Linked DNA regions of Arabidopsis thaliana. The protein of the gene in region 1 interacts with the protein of each later gene in a biochemical or structural test. Each region holds a gene or a part of one and is shown in the gene's direction. Other genes may lie near its edges.

Region 1 (5,298 bases):
AGAGGACCGTTGTCCTAGAGACGGATACAGCCCAAGAGACGACCTTAGTCCTGCGGAAGATGAAGACCAATGAAGAGTAGGAAGACTGGTGATTGCTTATAGGCCGTCTATTTTGGCTTATAATGATTTTAAATAAGTGTAATGGATTTTGTTGCTTAATACTTCGTCTGCTATCTTGTTTTAAATATTTAAGAAAATAAAACGACTTTCGGGATTGTCTTTTTCTTTCTGTTCCATGTCTTCTTAACTGCTATGAGTAAAAGAGCTCTCCCAGACTCTTCTTCTATCTCCAAAAGCTTTTATTTTTGTTTGTTTATTTTGGTACTGATAATATCTGAGTATATATATAATATAGTAGAAACAATGAGCAAAAGTCAATATGTCCGAGTGGTTAAGGAGATTGACTCGAAATCAATTGGGCTTTGCCCGCGCAGGTTCGAATCCTGCTGTTGACGGAATTGTTTTTCTTTTTAGCTTTTGTTGGGTTGTGAAAAGTATAACAACCTTAATAATTTCGTTTTTTTAATCTAAAAATATACGGTAGTTTTCTCATCATCACCAATAAGAATTGTTTGATATGAAACAACAGAATCAGGAAAATTTGTTAAAATGTCAGAAAATGGAAAAATCTCTAACTGAACAAAAGTAACAAAAAAAACTCCCTTAGAAACAGAGGAATCATGATGAGAGACAAAATTATACAGAGACGTGGAGATGTCTGTAACGTTGTCTCATCCATCATCATGTCTTCTTCTTCTCTTCCTTCTCTTTTCCGGTCATCCCTCCGTCCTCGGAACCTCCATCCCCGACGCGGTGAACACGGCGGCGCGTTTGGTAAACAGAGCGAGAAGAGCAAAACTGTCGAGAGAATTTCTACAAGCGCACAACGATGCACGTGTTTCTTCAGGCGTGCCAACGCTCGGATGGGACAGAGACCTGGCCCGATTCGCTGATAAATGGGCTAAACAACGTAAGTCCGATTGCAGTATGATACATTCAGGTGGGCCTTACGGTGAGAACATTTTCTGGCACCGGCGTAAGAAGACGTGGTCGCCGGAGAAAGTGGTGACGAGATGGTTTGAGGAAAGGTTTAACTACGACGTGAAAACAAACACGTGCGCACCGGGAAAGATGTGCGGCCATTACACGCAGATGGTGTGGAGAGAGACCACAGCCGTTGGATGCGCACGTGTGAAATGCCATAACGGTCGTGGCTATCTTGTGGTGTGTGAATATGATCCACGCGGGAATTACGAAGGTGAAAGACCATTTTGATCAAAACAGTTAAAATGAAAAAATTGTTAGAGATTCAAAATATTTTTTCTTCTTCTAATGTAATGAAGATGGTATATTATTCTTGGTCCTTACATATATACAGCCATGTATTGAAGAGGTATAAATTCAAATGGTTCGGAATCTTTTAATTTTATATATTAAAGATCAATAATAAAAAAAAACGTCGACAGCAGGGTTCGAACCTGCGCGGGCGAAGCCCAATAGATTTCAAGTCTATCTCCTTAACCACTCGGACATATCGACTTGTTGTATTTGTTTCGTAAGATTTGAATACAAAACCGAATTCTCTGTTGCCTAAATCGGAGCTTTTCATCCCTTGACTCTCTAAGACATCTGAAGCAGCTAAAGTGTTGGATGTTTCACATAACGACATGGGCGGCAAGCACCCAGTGGACACAACAAGGTACCTTTGTTCTTGGCCGCCCTCTAATTCGGGTGAAATTGGAAGAGAGGTGCTTGGTATATACTAGGATGCGTATTTGGTGCTTAGAGATTTGATGAAACTGAAGCAGTTAGATATTAGAGACAACGACCTAATATTTGCAGGTGAAGAGTTCAGCTCTTTTGTCCGCCAGGTTTTTCCAAAGCTTGTATGGCTTGATGGCCACAAACTCGCAAGTTAAAGATAAATGTTAGGCCACTTGTTTTAATTAAAGTATAAAACTCTTTCGTTTTTTTGGATTCATTTTCATGAAATCAAAAGACTACAAGTCTACACGTGCTTCAAGCTTGAGGCTCTAAATGAAGTGGTAGGAAAGAATGAAATAATAATAAAAAAAGTCAGAAAAATGGATGGTCTGAGATCAAAGTGAAACCTACTCCACATACACATCCCAACTTCTTCCCCGCCATGTGGACTTTTCTTTTTCCTACTTTCTCTCTCTGCATTCTCTCTTACACCTGTCTTTATCTGAAAAATAACCGATGAGCTCGTCGCCGTCAAGAAATCCAACGAACGCCGAAGCACCTCCGCCACCACCAACATCGACGGATGCTGTGGCAGAGGGTTCGTCTAAGAAAGTGAGGAAACCATATACCATCACCAAGTCAAGAGAGAGCTGGACAGAGGAAGAGCACGATAAGTTTCTTGAAGCACTTCAACTGTAATAATTTATCTCTGTTTCTCTGTTTTTAGAGACTTCAAATTTCTTAGTTTGCTGCTGATTTCTGAGTTTAGTTAGTTATAGACTGAACAAACAGAGGAAAGTTTATGTTACTTAGCTTAGGTCTAGTAGTAACTTAGCTATAAAAAATCTGCTTAGCTAAAAAGATCTGCTTCTTGGAGCACTTCAACTGTAATAAATTTATAGTTGTGTTGACTTTTTGAAAGTGTTATTGATGTAACTAGGACCTGATTCTGCTGATACTACTACTCCTCTATGTTCCTTAGGTTTGATCGTGACTGGAAGAAGATTGAAGATTTTGTTGGTTCAAAGACTGTGATTCAGGTTTTAAAATAGCTTACTCTGCATTTTTGGTCGCAGTTACTTTGTGGCAATGTTTTCAACTTATTTGACTTTGTACTGCAGATAAGGAGTCATGCTCAAAAATACTTTCTCAAGGTTCAGAAAAACGGGACATTAGCTCATGTGCCACCTCCTCGACCTAAGCGCAAAGCAGCTCATCCGTATCCTCAAAAGGCATCAAAGAACGGTTCGAATATTTTATAATACTTCTTAGTTTGGTTATAGAGTTGAGTTTTTAACTCACATTTTCTTGCAGCTCAAATGCCACTTCAAGTTTCCACGTCTTTTACTACTACGCGAAATGGCGACATGCCGGGATATGCTTCATGGGATGATGCCTCAATGCTGCTAAACAGAGTTATTTCACCACAACATGAACTTGCTACTCTTCGTGGAGCAGAAGGCATGCACATTTGTCTATCCTTTTTGTTTTCTTCATTTTATTGGTAGTTGTAGTAAGAATAGGTTCCATCAAAGGACGTTTCATGTGCTTATTATGGCATATAACGCCACTGATTCAGCTGATATTGGATCAAAGGGCTTATTAAATGTTAGTAGCCCTTCTACATCTGGCATGGGAAGCTCAAGCCGAACAGTATCAGGTTCTGAGATTGTAAGAAAGGCTAAACAGCCTCCAGTGCTTCACGGTAACCATCTGTGAACAATTCCATGTTTTTTCACTAACTTTTATGCATGATGGAGACTGTACTGATACTATCTTTGTAGGTGTTCCTGATTTTGCTGAAGTTTATAATTTCATTGGGAGTGTCTTTGATCCTGAAACGAGAGGCCATGTGGAAAAGCTCAAGGAAATGGATCCTATAAATTTCGAAACTGTGAGTCAAGAGTTTACAAGCTTTCAGATTAATTGGTGTTCAAGCTCTTAGCATTTCTTCACTAATCACATAGTATGGTGTTTACAGGTTCTGTTATTGATGAGAAACCTCACAGTTAACTTATCAAACCCTGATTTAGAATCCACTGTAAGTGTTAAATTTGCGATAAAAGATTTGTGATGACCAACTTTCTCAGAGTCTGAAACTATTTCACTCTCAACCAATGAGTTGGAGGCACTTCTTTTATGATCTTTGGTTCCTTACATTGAAATGAGTTTTTTTGCGCTTGCGTGATCAAATTTAATCTAACCTCAGCTAGTCGGATTGTAATGATGCTGCAGAGGAAAGTCCTCTTATCATATGACAACGTGACGACCGAGCTCCCAAGCGTTGTTTCCCTTGTCAAGAACTCAACAAGCGACAAATCAGCATAACAAAAATATGAGCCATCAGCTAGCAAGTAAGTGTTTTTCCCTCTTTTTCCTCTGACCTTTTAAATTCAGTACAAGAAAACATTTCACTACTATTAGAAGTCACATGAGTTCATGGTTAGATATAAGTCTAGTGACAGTTCTCTAACTCTAAGGTTTGCAATAAGAGTTCTATAGTTAGTCACAGTCTGGGATACAAGATATATACACTACGGTATTTTGAGTATTAGCACCAGTTCAGGCTTCTTGCAAACTTTGTAAAGTCTTGCATAAGAGTTATATGGTTCTCACCGTATTGGCAGGTTTACTCATTGGTTTCCCATGTTTAATAAACTTTGGTGTTATACGTCACTGGAATCACAATCGTGTCACTGCATCATCATGTGGGAATTGTGTAAAAGGTCTTTGTTGTTTTGAGGAGAAACATAAGCCAAGTTTTGAAGCTATAGGGGGCTTCCGCAGATTTTGACCAGGACTAGTTGGGTGAATGGTAGGTATAATATATGTAAGGGGTTTTTCTACTAGTTGCAAGACAGCCTCATTCTCATCCACCCGTTACTCTTGTACTAAAATCTCGTCATAACTTTTTGTTCAGTTGTTGTGTATTTGTGTAAAAGATAAGTCCTAGGACTGAGTGTAATGGTTCAAGATCAGTGTTAAGTAAATGACGGCAACTCTATTGTTTTAAAGTTGACAGCTTTCTTTATATATTATGGGGTTTGATTCAGAATTTTGTTTTTAATAAGGAAACCAAGTCAAGTCTATAAAAAGATTTTGCAATTGTGGAGAGATTGTATGTATTCAAGTATTCAACAACATCAATCAATACTTACTAGTTTTCTGAATAATTTTTAAAAAATCCTAGAATCAAAAACCTCATGATTTTATAAAACAGAGTATCTGCCTGATTGTGCTCCTCCAGGAAGGGAGAAGGTTTGGTTAGTTATGTCTTCAAGAACACGCTTGAGTTCAGCTTTCGCTGTCTTAACAGATATTTCGGTAGGCCCTTCGACGAACAAATAGAGCTTGCGTTCCTCAGGTCCCGGGATACGTCCTGCCTCATAAAACTTACCTCTAGTGGTAATGGAAGCTCCACTCCACTCTGATATTGGTCCCAGCGTTTCTTTGTGGGTAACTTTCCACCGAGCATTCTGTGGGAAATCATTGATTTCCAATTCTGCTTCATAGTGTTCAGGTATCGCATCAGCTTGAATCTTTGCAAGGTACTGTTGCACGTTAGCAGCAGCAATCATGGCTGCAACGCGGCCT
Region 2 (4,543 bases), about 19 Mb from region 1:
GCCAAGAATTACTTTTGTTCGTCTCTTGGAACCGTTAACATCGGCAACAGAAAAAGTGTAATAAAAAAAAACTGTTTTCTTTTCGTTCGGATGCTGAGATTTGTTTTGCAAATTTAGAACTAGCTAAATTGGGTCAAAAGTTATAGGTTACACGTAAAATTATTACAGCAATTTCTCCCCTAATAACTTTGGGCTTTAGGCCCAATAACAGAAGGCCTTAAAGTGGCATACTTAGGGTTTAGTGAAAAAGCAATCGTCATCCTTGACTCAGGGGTCAGGTCAAATCCAGGAGAAGAAGAGGTAATCATTCTACACAGATAGAAACATTTATTTTTTGTTTAATCAAAAGCTAACATTTTGTTGTGACAGTTCTCGTGTTTTCTTAATATAGATGGCAAGACTGATAATCGTGCCAGAATCCGTCTTATTAATCAAGACAAGAACAAATACAACACTCCAAAGTATCGGTTTGTTGTTAGATTTGTATCCTTTTAATTAGTTCATCACATTCCCAGTTGTTAGTGGTGTCTGTTTACATTCTTCCTATCGAGTTTTGTTTGGCCTTGAATGTGAGGAAAGCTAACTTGATTGACCGTATTCGTACACTTCACTCAGCTGCTGAAGCCATATCAATGAAGTTGACGACGAGTGAAAACGTTTCTTCTCTTTAAAAAACTGTATTTCCATCTAGTTTTGATCTTACTTTCGTGGCTTTGAATTTTTACTTTTCATATAGCATCGTTATATTACTCTTTACCTAATTTCCCTACTGTACTTGTGAATTTTCCCGTCGACGTATGTGCAAGTTACTAATTTTATGCAAGTTGTGAATTTGCAAGCGTTTTAATTTCTAAACGAAAGAATACTAATCAGAAACTTAGAAAATTTGACAAGATTAACTAAACATTGTATATGTCTATCGACCACTACTACATTATTTCAATGTGTAAGCATATTTTTTATCATTTAAAATGAAAAACAGAATGGACAATGATAAATCAACGAACGACATTAGCAGAAGTGTGTGGTGTTTCTATTTATCAGCACAAATAGAAAACAATGATAAAATACAGAAGTGGTGATGCAGTGGATTTATCATTTGATTGCTGGACTGTCATTTTTGTTATTAAATCTTATGAACTTTATTTTTTTCTTATAAATATATTATATATAACACATTTAACTAAATTAGATCTCATAAATTTGTTGTAGATTTTTTTTTTTTTTTTGCTATTCCCAGCAATCTACTTAAAAACGAATCCCATCATCACCCAAACATGCTAAGTGTAGCAGAAGGGATAATATTTTGTAGGTAAGGAAACAAATATTTTATTAACCTGTAAATAAAAAATGAAAACCAATTATACACATATTTAAAAACTACCAAACTTAGTATAGTATTATTTTTTTTAAAAAAAATTATAATAACAAAATAATAATAATAATAAATGGTAAGACTTATTTTGAATTATGTTTATTAATAATATTTTTGAGGTTTCTTTGTAAGTGATGGTGATTACATAGAAACTTCATATCAAATATCTATATATTTTAAAATTTCAAGTAAATTGATTTTTCAAAAAATATTATTCTATACTAAATTTAAAGTATATGAAAATACAGAAAATTGTTTACAAAAATGAACACAAATTAGGAAATGAATATGAAGAGTATGTATCCAAATTGTATTGCCATGTTTGCATTTAATTTAAGAGGGTGTATGAAAAGCAAAAAATCTTCTTCTAACAACTTACCTAAAATCATCTCACTTATACACTTCCATAAATTAATTAGTTTTTTTGTATTCATTAGCTGGAAATATATTAAGATTATTTAGTTTTTTTTTTTCCATATGGAAAAGGAAATTCACAGCAGAATTCCTATAAGTTAAAAAAACTTACCTTAAAACTATCAAAATATATCAAAACTCATATCTCCTGGGTCCTCCTGGACCTGGACTTAAACATCCATACTTACACATATCCACTCTATATAAGTTTAGTTCACTACCACTAAACCCAACCAAAGCAAAAACATCACTTCTCTCAACAGAATAGTTTGAGGTTGTGTGAGACAAAAAGAAAACCATGGAGCCAACTAACGATGCTGAGACATTGGAAACTCAAGGAGAGGTTACAACCGCTATTTGGCCGTCATCTCAAATCCTCAAGACGACTATCGATATTCCGGGGACTCTCAGCCATGACGGCAGATACATCCAGTACAATCTATTTGGGCATATCTTTGAACTCCCCGCAAAGTATAAGCCACCGATTAGGCCTATTGGCAGAGGTGCTTGTGGCATCGTTTGGTAATATCCTTTTAACAGAATTAATAGTTTCATTTCTTTTCCTAATCATTTTGAGCACTTTAGAATGTAGATGCCATGACCATTTTTGTGTGTAATTTATGGTTTGGGTTGATAAGTTTCATCTTTTTATGAGAAAAGTTCAAATCGTTTCTATCATAGAGATCTCTAAACAGTTATTATACCATTCATGACTTTTATGTTATTCTTGTTACTTTTAAAATTTCCTCACTTGACACATTAGTTTTTACTTTTCTTTTTAACTTTTTTTACAGTTCGGCTGTGGACTCCGAGACCAATGAGAAGGTAGCAATAAAGAAAATAACGCAAGTATTTGATAACACTATCGAAGCAAAGAGAACTCTTCGTGAAATCAAGCTTCTTCGTCACTTCGATCATGAGAATGTTCGTTTGATTTTATAACTATTGTCTCACCTTTTTTCTTTTATTTTGTTATTCATTAAAAGCTAACTATGTAATATCATTTTTCTATAGATTGTTGCAATCAGAGACGTAATCTTGCCTCCTCAGAGAGATTCATTCGAAGATGTTTACATTGTGAATGAATTGATGGAGTTTGACCTTTATCGAACCTTAAAATCAGATCAAGAACTAACCAAAGATCATGGCATGGTGTGTGTTTAGAGTTATTGTTTCTTGAAACTTAAAAATCATTTTGATTAGTGAGCTTGACACAATCTTCAAATTTTTGGCAGTATTTCATGTACCAAATCCTGCGCGGATTAAAGTACATTCATTCAGCCAATGTGCTACACAGAGATCTAAAACCAAGCAATCTCCTCTTGAGTACACAATGTGACTTAAAGATTTGTGATTTCGGGCTCGCTCGTGCAACTCCTGAGAGTAATTTAATGACTGAGTATGTTGTCACAAGATGGTACCGTGCACCTGAGCTTCTGTTGGGCTCTTCTGACTATACCGCAGCAATAGATGTTTGGTCTGTTGGCTGTATTTTCATGGAAATAATGAACCGTGAACCGCTCTTCCCGGGGAAAGATCAAGTTAATCAGCTTCGTTTGCTTCTGGAGGTAGTAAAGTAAAACCCTTTGTTGTGCCAAGATCATATTCGTTTTTTGTGATTCATGATTAGCTTAAAAAGTCTTGGGACATTGTTTTGCAGCTCATTGGCACTCCATCTGAAGAAGAGCTTGGATCGTTGAGTGAATACGCTAAGCGATACATAAGGCAGCTTCCTACGCTTCCTCGCCAATCTTTCACTGAGAAATTCCCGAACGTGCCTCCCTTAGCAATAGACTTGGTGGAGAAGATGCTAACATTTGATCCTAAACAGAGAATCTCAGGTCAGTTTCTGTCTCCATATAGCCTCTTCTGCAGTTTTATTTGGATTCTTATCATCAGTTTTGCCACTTTGCAGTTAAAGAAGCACTTGCTCATCCATACCTTAGCTCGTTTCACGACATTACCGATGAACCAGAGTGCTCAGAGCCCTTCAATTTCGATTTAGATGAACATCCATTCTCTGAGGAGCAGTTTAGAGAGTTAATCTACTGTGAAGCCCTAGCTTTCAACCCTGAAACCAGCAATGATTGAAAAGGACCATATCTTTGATCCTTGTTCTGTTTTTTTCTTTTCCTTCTCTGCTTTTCTTTGAATAATTTCCCTTTTCATTTCCTTTAATTTTTTCATCTCTCAGAAATTTTGTTGTGCTAAGATTTTCTGCTAGATTCCCTTTTGATGTTGTCAAATTTCATTTTTAAGCAAATAAACTGAAAAACCATGATTCTGTGGGCATCATTGCGACTTTCAATCCAACAAATATTAATACATGAGCTATTGTCAAAAATATAACATTGCAACAAGGAAGAAAGCAATCATATCCTACTTTGAGTATTTTGATTGAAGACAATCTTACTCTTTGTAATAGTTCATTTGCAGTTTTGCTTTTGTCAATTCTTCAAATTGCCAAAGAATCTAGAGAGTGGTACAGGGCCATCGGTTTCGTGTTTACTTTTGCTAGAGTGTTTGTCTCTGCTGGACTTGTGCTTCTTCTCCTTCTTTGATCTTTTCGAACTTGATCTTGATCTTCTAGATTCATCTTCATCACTGCTAGATGACGACTCTGAGGACGAATAATGCTGCAAATTCATAACACAACCGATCATGGTTCATGTTAGCATAAGCTAGAAAACCTCACACTATCTGATATAAGCTAAACTTTTAGAAGGCACCTTTCTCTTTTTGCTTTTCTTCTTC
Region 3 (4,301 bases), on another chromosome or scaffold:
TTTGATCGAAATGTGGTCTGCAGTAGAGAACTCCTTCAAAGGAGTTGTAATTGCTAAGCTGACTCATCAAGAAGAAGAAGAAGAAGAAGAAGAAACAGAACAGTCAAATCTTTAGACCAATCAGTTTCCATAGCCAAAAATTCAAAGATTTCTACTTAATTGATTGGACTTCTTCATCTACATATATATCTACTAGATCTACTTCTGGATTAATGAGAAATCATCACAAACTAGAATCAAAGATCAAACCTTGAGAGTTCCTTTGCAATGGTGACATCGGAAACAAGCTTTGTGGTAGACCCGGTTATCGGCGGTTAACTTGTCGACAAGATAAACTGTTTTGTCACATGCCATGCATTTCTGGGTTGTTCCTGCGAACGCCATTCTTGTAAGAGATCAGACTAAAAGACTCAGGAAAAAAGAAAGAAGCTCAATAGTCTTGAGAGAGAGAGAGAGATAAAGAAGAATAAGATGAAGATGAAAGAAAGAGATTGTCAATTATTGTTGCTTGTTTTAATATGGGGACCAGATATATTGAAAAATGAACATGCTTCTTCTTTTTAAATATTTAAAGTAAAATTCTTTTAGGAAAAATTGAAATTTTTAATAAAATGTCACAAACAAAAAAGTTCAAGATGAGTATCGAATTTTGGATGCAAATTCGAATATTTGGTGTTTCTGACAACCCTAGCATTGTTTTTCGTGGTTGTCTAATCCACAAAACAAGATAAGCGATGAATAAATAAATAATTTGAACGTTAGCAACAAAACTAAAAACTGTACTACAAAAAGAAAAGGTTTCAACGGCATTTTTTGTGTTCTTAATTATTTTTGTCCAAACTTGAAGTAACCCGTCAATATCTGTCTCCTAGATATTTTGCTTATATTTTTTTTACATTAATTCAGTTCTTTTATATCTAGAGTCAGGTAATTATTTAGAGAATGCATGCAGTTGCTTGACAGTGCGTAAGATTTACACAAATTTTTCTCAACAGTGAAGGCAATGCTCAATAGTCAATAACTGTTTGTAAGGAAATAGAACAGGGAAAACCAACTGGAAAGAATCTTTGTCTGGTTTTAGATAATGATTAAAAGCTGTATTGGTTATGTTGAATTAGTTGGAAATCTCTAAATATCTATACACTATTTATTTTCTTTAATACTATATGTTGTGTAGTGTGTATATGAATAATGAAAATATCTGAAACATGCTTTACCATAAAGGCTTTTGATGAGCTGTAGTATTGACATAATTGGTTGAAGAGAATGAGTGATCATAATGATACCTAACATCTTTTATTTAATCAAAAATACCTAACGTTATTTTTATTTGCTACTATAATAGACTCCAACCAATTTATTAGTATCATTTTATACAGTTTCTAACATTTTTGCCACTGCTTAGATTTATGGGCTTTCCCTTTCTGTCTGCATGGGCCTCCTCTCTTATATTAATAATCTGACTTAATGAAAACTTTTAAATCTTTTGTAGTTTATTTTCCTCTAGATGCTAATTTTAGCAAAATGAAAAGATGTGTGATGGAAACGTAAAGTTAAAGCAAAAGAAGATGGTGAATTGGTGATGCAATATTTTAGTCATGTGTCATTGTTTACATTTATGATATATTTTACTTTAAAATACTTTTCTTCATTTTCAATTTTTATAAATCTTCGTAGAACACATATTCACAAATGATGCTACTTTGGTGATCAGTTACTAAAAAATACCGAAATTGATTTTAGAAGATAGAGACGTGAATCTGTTTGCCAATATTAATTGGGCTCAACTTAAGCCCAAATTATATAAGGAAAGACTACCTAGTAACGAACAAGTAGCAGGTCAACTGTCCGAGCGTTGGCCAAATCTCTCTCACTTCCACAGGTTTCTCTCTCCGGCCAAATCTAACCTCCGGGGAACGTCGTTGGTCACTTATCACCGGTTAGAATTTCCTTCCCGCTTTATCCCGTAAACTTTTTTCCCATTGATTCCGATCGTTTATGTTCCTTCACCAAATCGATAAAGTTTGATCTTTTTCCTTTTCACTATTATTAACAGACCAATCTGTTTACACAAGAAATCTACAGTAACTTATCACTTGAAAAGTTTTGATAAATAGTTAGTATAATAATTTGTTAATTGTGTGTGTAAATTTGATTTCTTGATTGTGTGTGAATTGTGATGAAGAGGGAAAACAAAAAATGGCGACTTTGGTTGATCCTCCTAATGGGATAAGGAATGAAGGGAAGCATTACTTCTCAATGTGGCAAACTCTGTTCGAGATCGACACTAAGTACATGCCTATCAAGCCTATTGGTCGTGGAGCTTACGGTGTTGTCTGCTCCTCTGTTAACAGTGACACCAACGAGAAAGTTGCTATCAAGAAGATTCACAATGTTTATGAGAATAGGATCGATGCGTTGAGGACTCTTCGGGAGCTCAAGCTTCTACGCCATCTTCGACATGAGAATGTCATTGCTTTGAAAGATGTCATGATGCCAATTCATAAGATGAGCTTCAAGGATGTTTATCTTGTTTATGAGCTCATGGACACTGATCTCCACCAGATTATCAAGTCTTCTCAAGTTCTTAGTAACGATCATTGCCAATACTTCTTGTTCCAGGTGTGTGGTTGATCCCGTTCATTTACTGTTGGTTCTAGCTTTGCTTTCTCCTGAAATTTTGCTTTGCTTTGTTCTTTTTGTGTAGTTGCTTCGAGGGCTCAAGTATATTCATTCAGCCAATATCCTGCACCGAGATTTGAAACCTGGTAACCTTCTTGTCAACGCAAACTGCGATTTAAAGATATGCGATTTTGGACTAGCGCGTGCGAGCAACACCAAGGGTCAGTTCATGACTGAATATGTTGTGACTCGTTGGTACCGAGCCCCAGAGCTTCTCCTCTGTTGTGACAACTATGGAACATCCATTGATGTTTGGTCTGTTGGTTGCATTTTCGCCGAGCTTCTTGGTAGGAAACCGATATTCCAAGGAACGGAATGTCTTAACCAGCTGAAGCTCATTGTCAACATTCTCGGAAGCCAAAGAGAAGAAGATCTTGAGTTCATAGATAACCCGAAAGCTAAAAGATACATTAGATCACTTCCGTACTCACCTGGGATGTCTTTATCCAGACTTTACCCGGGCGCTCATGTTTTGGCCATCGACCTTCTGCAGAAAATGCTTGTTTTTGATCCGTCAAAGAGGATTAGTGTCTCTGAAGCACTCCAGCATCCATACATGGCGCCTCTATATGACCCGAATGCAAACCCTCCTGCTCAAGTTCCTATCGATCTCGATGTAGATGAGGATTTGAGAGAGGAGATGATAAGAGAAATGATGTGGAATGAGATGCTTCACTACCATCCACAAGCTTCAACCTTAAACACTGAGCTCTGAGCTCAAGTCTTGTTTGTACGGGTAATTTACAGAAAACTTCTTCTTCTTATGTCTGATTGTCATCATAGACTCATAGTGTATATAGTCTTGAAAAATAAGATGAAGACTAACTTATAGTTTAAGCGAATAGTGATGCCATGGAAGCTCTGTTTTATTTAATTACAAGCTTGATGTGTGTCTGTAACATATGTACATAGAGAGAGCTGTTTTTTTTTTTTAATTACAAGTTTGATGTGTGTCTGTAACATATGTACATAGAAAGAGCTGTGTTTTTTTTTTAATTACAAGCTTGATGTGTGTCTGTAACATATGTTCATAGAGAGAGCTGTGTTTCTGTTTCTCTGTTTGTTTGTTGCGTTCTTGCAGAACTTTTAACCCTCTCATGCAATCCAAGCCTTTTGATGAATCAAGTTTTCATATAGTTGTTCTCATATAGCTTAAATCTAAGAATATCAACAATTAAGCATTTTGTTATATGAATATTTGATGATCACACCATGATCATAGGCCTTCGGATTCATAGAAGGGGTAGGCCTTTGCACCGAACCTAACTTTCCAAATCGTAACAAAAACAATGTATTGTTTTTCTTTCAATTTCTTAATGAAGTTCTATAAGATAATTTTGGTGAGTAGTATCAGTACCCTCCTCATTCATTTATCACATGATATGCTTCATTTTTTTGTCAACACATGATATGTTGCTTCTATTGGTTAAAAAGCCTTAAAGGCTAAAAGCTTTTTCTTCTACACCAACTTTCCTTCTCATAATTCATTTTTCTTTTCATAGTATATAAATAACTTGGAGGATTTTCCAATTTTTGTAAACCCATCAGAAATTTAAATTAACAATGAATATTCCAACTATATGTTTATGGTTGAATCACTTTTGTCTTTCTTTCTCCCC

What was found. The genes of interacting proteins can lie anywhere in the genome.
Region 2: of the proteins of RVE8 (region 1) and MPK10, one has a biochemical effect on the other in vitro, tested with the Arabidopsis thaliana proteins (one large-scale study listed by BioGRID).
Region 3: of the proteins of RVE8 (region 1) and MPK1, one has a biochemical effect on the other in vitro, tested with the Arabidopsis thaliana proteins (one large-scale study listed by BioGRID).

Annotation. Positions count from the first base shown.
Region 1 is NC_003074.8:2,944,239-2,949,536, forward strand, and holds RVE8 (Homeodomain-like superfamily protein), read left to right. Parts: upstream 1-2,000; 5' UTR 2,001-2,220; coding exon 2,221-2,399; exon of another isoform or gene 2,400-2,675; coding exon of another isoform or gene 2,676-2,686; coding exon 2,687-2,744; intron 2,745-2,825; coding exon 2,826-2,949; intron 2,950-3,018; coding exon 3,019-3,165; intron 3,166-3,283; coding exon 3,284-3,409; intron 3,410-3,488; coding exon 3,489-3,598; intron 3,599-3,685; coding exon 3,686-3,745; coding exon of another isoform or gene 3,746-3,778; exon of another isoform or gene 3,779-3,917; coding exon of another isoform or gene 3,918-3,939; coding exon 3,940-4,032; 3' UTR 4,033-4,058; exon of another isoform or gene 4,059-4,331; 3' UTR 4,332-4,779; downstream 4,780-5,298. Other genes in the region: AT3G09590 (CAP (Cysteine-rich secretory proteins, Antigen 5, and Pathogenesis-related 1 protein) superfamily protein), read left to right, coding at 715-1,275; AT3G09620 (P-loop containing nucleoside triphosphate hydrolases superfamily protein), read right to left, coding at 4,914-5,298. UniProt on the Arabidopsis thaliana protein: Transcriptional activator of evening element (EE)-containing clock-controlled genes. Forms a negative feedback loop with APRR5. Regulates the pattern of histone H3 acetylation of the TOC1 promoter.
Region 2 is NC_003074.8:22,090,361-22,094,903, forward strand, and holds MPK10 (MAP kinase 10), read left to right. Parts: upstream 1-2,039; 5' UTR 2,040-2,087; coding exon 2,088-2,311; intron 2,312-2,583; coding exon 2,584-2,713; intron 2,714-2,803; coding exon 2,804-2,941; intron 2,942-3,024; coding exon 3,025-3,357; intron 3,358-3,449; coding exon 3,450-3,630; intron 3,631-3,704; coding exon 3,705-3,880; 3' UTR 3,881-4,043; downstream 4,044-4,543. Other genes in the region: AT3G59800 (stress response protein), read right to left, coding at 4,237-4,425, 4,519-4,543.
Region 3 is NC_003070.9:3,347,380-3,351,680, forward strand, and holds MPK1 (mitogen-activated protein kinase 1), read left to right. Parts: upstream 1-1,702; 5' UTR 1,703-1,939; exon of another isoform or gene 1,940-2,185; 5' UTR 2,186-2,199; coding exon 2,200-2,622; intron 2,623-2,707; coding exon 2,708-3,397; 3' UTR 3,398-3,801; downstream 3,802-4,301. Other genes in the region: WLIM1 (GATA type zinc finger transcription factor family protein), read right to left, coding at 1-58, 250-384.